Linked DNA regions of Daphnia pulex. The protein of the gene in region 1 interacts with the protein of each later gene in a pairwise test. Links are inferred from orthologs where the notes say so. Each region holds a gene or a part of one and is shown in the gene's direction. Other genes may lie near its edges. The genes, in order: electron transfer flavoprotein subunit alpha, mitochondrial-like; electron transfer flavoprotein subunit beta-like.

What was found.
Region 2: the proteins of electron transfer flavoprotein subunit alpha, mitochondrial-like (region 1) and electron transfer flavoprotein subunit beta-like interact in a two-hybrid assay, tested with the Drosophila melanogaster proteins (2 studies listed by BioGRID). The link is inferred for Daphnia pulex from reciprocal best matches to the Drosophila melanogaster genes wal and Etfb.

What each region holds. Positions count from the first base shown.
Region 1 is NC_060017.1:3,282,375-3,286,389, reverse strand, and holds electron transfer flavoprotein subunit alpha, mitochondrial-like, read left to right. Parts: upstream 1-1,591; 5' UTR 1,592-1,742; coding exon 1,743-1,784; intron 1,785-1,874; coding exon 1,875-2,027; intron 2,028-2,096; coding exon 2,097-2,361; intron 2,362-2,431; coding exon 2,432-2,665; intron 2,666-2,732; coding exon 2,733-2,836; intron 2,837-2,916; coding exon 2,917-3,058; intron 3,059-3,130; coding exon 3,131-3,204; 3' UTR 3,205-3,312; downstream 3,313-4,015. Other genes in the region: calcineurin-binding protein cabin-1-like, read right to left, coding at 1-25, 93-309, 377-588, 664-765, 827-976, 1,045-1,158, 1,265-1,351.
Region 2 is NC_060023.1:10,149,762-10,153,377, reverse strand, and holds electron transfer flavoprotein subunit beta-like, read left to right. Parts: upstream 1-1,436; 5' UTR 1,437-1,558; coding exon 1,559-1,612; intron 1,613-1,679; coding exon 1,680-1,838; intron 1,839-1,943; coding exon 1,944-2,102; intron 2,103-2,169; coding exon 2,170-2,250; intron 2,251-2,328; coding exon 2,329-2,469; intron 2,470-2,539; coding exon 2,540-2,710; 3' UTR 2,711-2,857; downstream 2,858-3,616. Other genes in the region: persulfide dioxygenase ETHE1, mitochondrial-like, read left to right, coding at 1-43, 104-248, 317-502, 572-754, 818-940, 1,011-1,039; DNA-directed RNA polymerases I, II, and III subunit RPABC3-like, read right to left, coding at 2,995-3,112.

The sequences.
Region 1 (4,015 bases):
CAAGTTGTACAGAACAACTCATTTTCTATAAAGGAAAAGATAAAATTAATTAAGTTGGTTTGATTTCGAAAAAAAAAAATTACTTTTTTTACCAGAGGGTCGCTGCTTTCCGACATACTTCTGTAAGTAGCCAGTAAGCTCTCTCCAACAGCAATCCATGATAACGATTCAATCTTCTTCGCTAACGGAATGCTTGGTAAAATCAATTCCGTGTATAGACCGCCAACTTCCTCACGAAGCTGCTGTGCTTCATTCAGACATTCCTGTTTTTCTTCTTCACTGTATGGGTAATTTTCAAACAAATGGATCCTGAAAACGAAAAATCACTATCAGATTTCTTGAAGCGACTCACACTTGTTTAATAGTAATTCCATACCATTTTTCGTTGAATATTTGTTTAAGGTCAATTTTCAACGAAGGAGAGATTTCAAAAATAAAATCTCGGAAAATAAGACCTCTGGTGTAGAAAGGGTCTTTTCCAAGGGCTATATTGATGTAGTGAAGGCACAAAACATCATCACCTAGCCCATACAAAACGCTGATAATTCCATCCAGGCAAGGCCAATGGTTGGGACTGCACTGTAACCCCTACATTGTAGCAAGAGATATTAACGAGAATTAGTAATATTTTCAAGTTATTATTATTCTGGTTGAATTCAGTACCTGAAGAAAAGCATGTCTTGCAAGCTGAAAGTTCTTTAAACTCATAGAAATTTTTCCAATGCTGTGCCAAACAGTTACATCAAGGGGATCAACTTCCACAGCCTAAAGATAAGCATGATTTTAGCTAAGAATAAAAATTTGCATTTTAGTCTATTCACTCCACCTCAAGATATGCCTCAAGTGCTTCATCAAAATTTCCTTTGGAAGCACACAAAGCTCCAATGTTTTTCAAACAAGCATATTTAATTTGGAGACAGGAAGACAAGGTGCCTATGTCTCTATTATCTTTTTCTTCTTTTTCATCCAACAAGGCCTAAATTTAAAGTGAGAATTTGATTGACATTATCAAATTAATCTAAGAATTTGAAATTTTGTTAATACATTTTCAATACAAGGTAAGGCAAGTGTGTGATGGAAGAGTTTGAGAGCAGCATCAAACTCATTTTTCTGTCTCAGATCTAGAGCTTCTTTGTACAAGTTCAACGAATCAGCTTCCTGAGAAAGCAAATAAGAAAATAAATAAATAACAAACATATGTTTTTGGTATGCAGTTCATCTCATTCTCTTGGAATAGTTAAGTACTTTTATAGACATTACTTACTTCGACTTCTTTTGTTGGTAGAACAGGTTCATCAACACCAGAACTTTCTTCAGACAACTCTTCGTTTAAGGCTGCAATCCTCAACATTCTCGTTCCGTTCACAAGCTAGAATCATTGAAAACTAGCCTACTGTAAGTAACGATATTGTTGTATACTAAACTTGCTAGAATTTGAATACACAACTTTTCTCTCTGTGTATTATCGAATTGTTGCTAAACTGTATGAGGAAATTTGTTAAACATCACTCGAAAATGAGACGCTAATAATAGAGAAATATTTTCAAAGCTAGAACAGCAGACGATACGAGAGTCGTTCCCATCCCGCTACAAACAAATGAACAACGCATGGCGATTTTCTGATTTCGGGATTTTCAGTCTGCTAGTTTTAATCGTTACGATTCAAGTCCCTTTTATTTTTCGTTGTGTAATTGGGTGACTGTTGGAGTACATCCATAATTCTGATAAGTTTGCATTAGAAAATGTTTTCGATTTCACAGCTGCGCAATTTCCAAGGAAGGAATGTGAGTGTTGCAGTATTATTTAAAATTATATTTTGCGGTTTTGCTATTGTTCTTGAAACAGTAAATCATGCTATTGAATCACATTGCCAGGTTTTCATCCTAGCCCACCGTTTTCAAAGTACCTTGGTTTTAGCTGAACACAACAATGGCAAACTTAACCCTGTCACATTGAGTGCCATCACAGCAGCTCAGAAAGTTGGTGGAACTGTGTCCTGTCTTGTTGCAGGAGCCAAGTGTGGATCGGTAAGTTCATCAGATGATTGCGGTACTGAAGAATTCTGAAGCTTTGTTAACTTTTCAAACTAATTTTAGGTAGTAGAACAATTGTCCAAAGCAACAGGGATATCAAAGATCCTTGTTGCTGAACATGCCAATCTTCATGGGTTGTTGCCTGAACCCTTGGCCCCCTTGGTTGTTGCTACCCAAAAGCAATTTGGTTTTACTCATATTTTAGCTGGTGCTTCTGCTTTCGGAAAAACTTTGCTTCCCAGAGTGGCTGCACTGTTAGATGTTTCTCCCATTTCAGATGTAACTGCAATCACAAATGCTGATACTTTTGTCAGAACAATTTATGCTGGTGGGTTACTAACTCCTATGTATTTCTTTGTTTATATTTTATCATGTCTTCAATTTTACATTTAAATCAGGAAATGCTGTTCTGACATTGAAATCCAATGATGGCGTTAAAGTCGTTACCATTAGGCCCACAAGTTTTCCTGCTGCTCTCATGGGGGATGCCGTTGCTCCTTCAGAAGCGTCTACTCAAACCGTCAATTCCTCACCTAATTCCGAATTTATTGGACAAGAGTTGACTAAGTCTGATCGTCCAGAGCTTTCGTCTGCCAAGATCGTCGTTAGTGGTGGTCGAGGATTGAAATCAGGTTTGAAGGATAATCTTAATAGTTTATGCCTTCATAGTACAATGTTATAATTATATTATATAATCAGGTGAAAACTTCGAGCTACTTTACAAGCTTGCCGACAAGATGGGTGCTGCTGTAGGCGCTTCGCGTGCCGCTGTTGATGCCGGTTTTGTATCCAACGACCTTCAGGTTGACTAGCATTTGTCTTTTTCTTCTTTGTCAAAACTCCATTTGGTAATCTGGATTATTCGCGGACGTGGCAACTACAGGTTGGTCAAACAGGAAAAATCCTTGCACCGGAATTGTACATCGCTGTTGGAATTTCTGGTGCGATCCAACATTTGGCTGGCATGAAAGATTCAAAAACCATCGTTGCCATCAACAAAGATCCAGAAGCTCCCATTTTCCAAGGTAACGTTTTGATGGATATTATTCAATTTTCTTTTTAGAACTGTTTTTAACTATTAATTCATTTCAATCAAGTTGCTGATATCGGCCTGGTAGCTGATTTATTCGCTGCTGTGCCCGAACTCACCGAGAAAATAGGAAAAAAGTAAAAAAATTTTGAAGCGACGTTGTTGCTGATTTATAAAAAGAAACAATGCAAATGTGTACGGAATATGGGATAAAAACAAACAAAAAAATATACAGATAGTATCCTTCTACCCTCAAAGGTCAGAGAACACCCGATCTGGAATCCCTTAAATGTTGTCGACCATTCAATCAGAGCTTCTACACTCGTCTAGTCTGGGCGTCCGCTGATGCAAGGCCAGACAAGGACTCTTTGCGGAACGGTTGTTTTGTGATAGTATCGTGAGCCACTTGTCGATTCATGCAGAATCGGATCAGAACCATCTAGTCTCCGGAACGCATTCAAACTATTCGCGCCCATATAATAATGAGGTGTATTGTTCACTGCGACTGGGAGGGGGGAGGGGAAGATTACAGGGACTAACGAAGGCGATAAATAAACAGCAAAATGACATTCATTAGTCCTGACGAGAAAGCCGTCATAGTACCATGGAAGATGGGTCTTAAAGGGGGGTTTCAGTGGTTCCATCACAAGTGAGGCGTGCCGTCAAGACGCAGATATGCCCACTGATATCACAGGCCATTAAGACGGCTGAGAGAACTGTGCTCATTCCGCGTTTCTTCTTTTCCTGCTTCATCTTTCATCTTCATTTCGTGAAATCCTTTTTGTGCTGTACAGTGTCACATGCTGCCGCCTCTTAAAGGCCAAGTGTGTCTCTCTCGCACAGTGAAGCCCAGACTTTTCATTTAGACAAAGAATATGATGCCTGGCGGACCACCAAAGCTGAGGTGGATCTTCTCTCTAGGAGTTGTTGGCCAGTTAGCAGTCAGCATCTC
Region 2 (3,616 bases), on another chromosome or scaffold:
CATCGAAAGGCAACCTCATTCCGGTGACTTCTTCCTTCGACAGGCAAGATGGCAATTTCCCAATACCCTTACATAATATTCATTCCATAAACTGTCTTTATAGTTGTTTGATAGAGAAAGCTGTACTTACACATACCTGCTTGCTGACGCCTACTCAAAAGATGCAGTACTCATTGATCCTGTCATCGAGCTTATTGAAAGGGACCTAGAGGTGGTCAAAGAATTGGAACTCAACATCAGATATGCTTGTATAATAAATTAATATAATATTTTTTTTCAAAACCTGTACAATAATTTCTTCTTTTTAATTTTCCAGTGAGTACTCATATGCATTCTGATCATTCAGCAGCTGCCCTTAAGCTAAAAAAGTACCTTCCGTCGTGCAAAACTGTCATTTCTGCAGCTAGCGGAGCAATCGCCGATATTTTGGTTCGCCATGGCGATATCATCCACTTTGGTCGACATCAGCTCGAAGTACGAGCAACACCCGGCCATACCAACTGTAATTTGATCAAAACATGATTACTTTAAGTGATTCGTATTTTCAAGTCGCGTGGTTATATTGTTTCAGGTTGCGTCACATATGTCTGTCATGAAGAAGGAGTCGCTTTCACAGGCGACACTTTGCTAATTAGAGGATGTGGTCGGACTGATTTCGATCAAGGCGATCCTGAAACTTTGTACAACTCAATCTATAACCAAATTTTCTCATTACCAAACATGCTCCGCCTTTATCCTGGACACGACTATCGGGGTACCAATCAACAAACACATTAGAATTCTTTTATACTTGTCTAATTTCTATTTATACATTCAGGCAGAACAGTGACGTCTGTTTTGGAGGAGAAACGCTACAATCCTCGATTGACCAAGAGTAGAGAAGAATTCATTCAAATCATGAAAACATTAAATTTCGCCCACACTACTGATAACCAAATGGGTATGATACTATGCACTTCATTTGCATTTTCTGTTAAGTAAAAAAAACCAATTCATTTAATTTGTTCCAGAACATTCTTTGCCGGAAAGTTTCAAGTAGACGTGCAGTAATCGGATGAAGGAGTTGATAAGCTATCTCTTATTAGCTTATGATACTCAACAGCCATTCATTACATAATCAAGGGGCATATAGTGCTTGTTTTGGCGCACCATATTTTTTAAATAAATTTATGCGGAACTCGGTGTAGCCGTTAGAGTGGGGCCACTGAGGCCTGCAACCTTCTCTGATCTATCACTTAGTCCAATGTCATTCCCCTATCGAATATTGATTTCATTTCCTTTCACTTGTATTTTGAAGGAATAAATTTGTTACAAAAATGAAAAAGAATTCTCGTTTGTTATTGATTTGCTGAATCAGAGGAATGAAACGTGAGATGTAAAAAAATATTCATAGTCGAATGCGCAATCCCACATTTTCAAACACCTCGCAACATCGCTCTTGTGTTCCCGCCAGGTGACGCTAGTGGTTTTAACGTCTTCTGCTTGTACTTTATTTGTCGTGATAACACGATAGAGCTTTCTCTAATTGTAACATTGTAATTTTTATATTGTAATTAAAATGTCTCTTCGAATCCTGGTCGGCGTAAAACGTGTTATCGACTATGCTGTCAAGGTAATTGACTTTTCGAAACTTTTTTAACGATTTAACAATGAAACTTATCGTGTTCTTGGAATTTTAGATCCGAGTCAAGCCCGACAAATCGGGAGTCATTACGGAGGGAGTGAAGCACTCAATGAACCCCTTCGACGAGATTGCCATTGAAGAAGCTGTACGTATGAAAGAAAAGAAGATAGCCAAAGAAATTGTGGCTTTCTCCTGTGGTCCAGCTCAGTGCCAGGTTGGCGATTTGTCAATTTCTAGATTACATAATTTTGGTACAAGATTGTCCATCATGTTACATCCTGAATATTTTTTATGATCTTGGCACTTTGGCGTGTTACAGGAAACACTGAGGACTGCTCTCGCCATGGGCGCAGATAGAGGCATACATGTAGAGGTTGCAGGACCACAGTTTGATACTCTGCAACCATTGCACATTTCCAAGATGTTGGCCCAACTTGCAAAAGATGAACAGATCGACCTAATTATTGTTGGAAAGCAGGTACCTAATTATCTCTTTTATCTTAATTATAACCCAATTATAAGAAAACATTGTTTTTCACTGACAGGCCATTGATGATGACTGCAATCAAACAGCTCAGATGACAGCTGCTCTTCTAGATTGGCCTCAAGCCACTTCTGCGTCCAAGGTTATTACTTATTGCTACTTTTTAAAATAATCAGCAGCGCACAACTGACAAAATCCGTCAATCATGTTTTCTATTCAGATTGAAGCCAAGGATGGCAGCTTGCAGGTGGTACGTGAGATCGACGGGGGGCTCGAGACAATTAAGGTGAAATTACCAACTGTCGTCAGCGCCGACTTGCGTCTGAATGAGCCTCGCTACGCAACTCTCCCCAACATCATGGTACTTTTTTTAATATACGCACAAATGCCCTCGATTTTTCACTCAAGTTTTTTATTTCTTTTCTTTTTAGAAAGCCAAGAAGAAGCCCATTAAGAAACTGACGCCTAAGGATTTAGGCGTCGACGTCAGCCCAAGAATTGAAGTAGTCACGGTCGAGGAACCACCCGTGCGGCTTGCAGGTGCCAAGGTCGAGAACGTCGACATGATGGTGGAAAAACTCAAAGCCCTCGGCCATGCTTAATTTGCAGGGGGGGATTGCAATGAGCATTGAAGAAAACCTGGACTTGCCCTTCTGGTTTCTGCCCATTTGTAGTTTGGCTTTTATCAATGCAAAAATCAAGTTGAAAAGATTACGCTATTACGGAAAAGAATACAAGAACTTATTATACTTACAACAATTCGTTTACTAATAAAATAAAGTCGAAACATTATTAGTTACAAAAAAATGCAAGTGTATTCAAAGAAATAATGAAGTACATTCATTCGTATCCCAAACTTGTAATTTATAAGTTTGCATACCACTTTTTAAAACGCAAGTTTCTTAATCAACAGGTAGATTTGTTGATCGACTTCGAATCCGTGAAGATTGTTGGCATCTCCCTGCAAACGCATCAGCAATCCTCCGTACGACGCATAGGCAGATCTGCACGAATCAATAAAGAAAATCATTACCGAACACTACCCATCATCTAAAAAAGAAAACAATCAAGATACACAAAAACATACAATTAAGGGCACACATGATCATTAGTAGTTTGGTCGAATATCGTGTCATCGACAGTGGACAGTTTGGATAGTGGCTGTGGATTCAAGTAAATATTTCACAACCAGCTAACCACACTGCCAACCATCAATACACTTATTGCCCAAACAATTTGTACTTGCATCAAGACACTTGTGGCTCAATGAGAAGCGAAGACTCGACTGTGACATGGAGACATTTGCAAAGTCCTTTTATAACGAGAAAGATGGGCACACACCACAACATGTCGACGAGAAAAAATCGTACGATAGGCGTTATTAAACGTCGTCGACCAATTAATATCCATAGGGAATTGCTTCGACGGTTCGACGAAAAACATCGACCCCCCCCACCCTTCCATTCTCAAATTAAAAAAGATGTTCGAAGAAAAAGAAATCGTCGTCA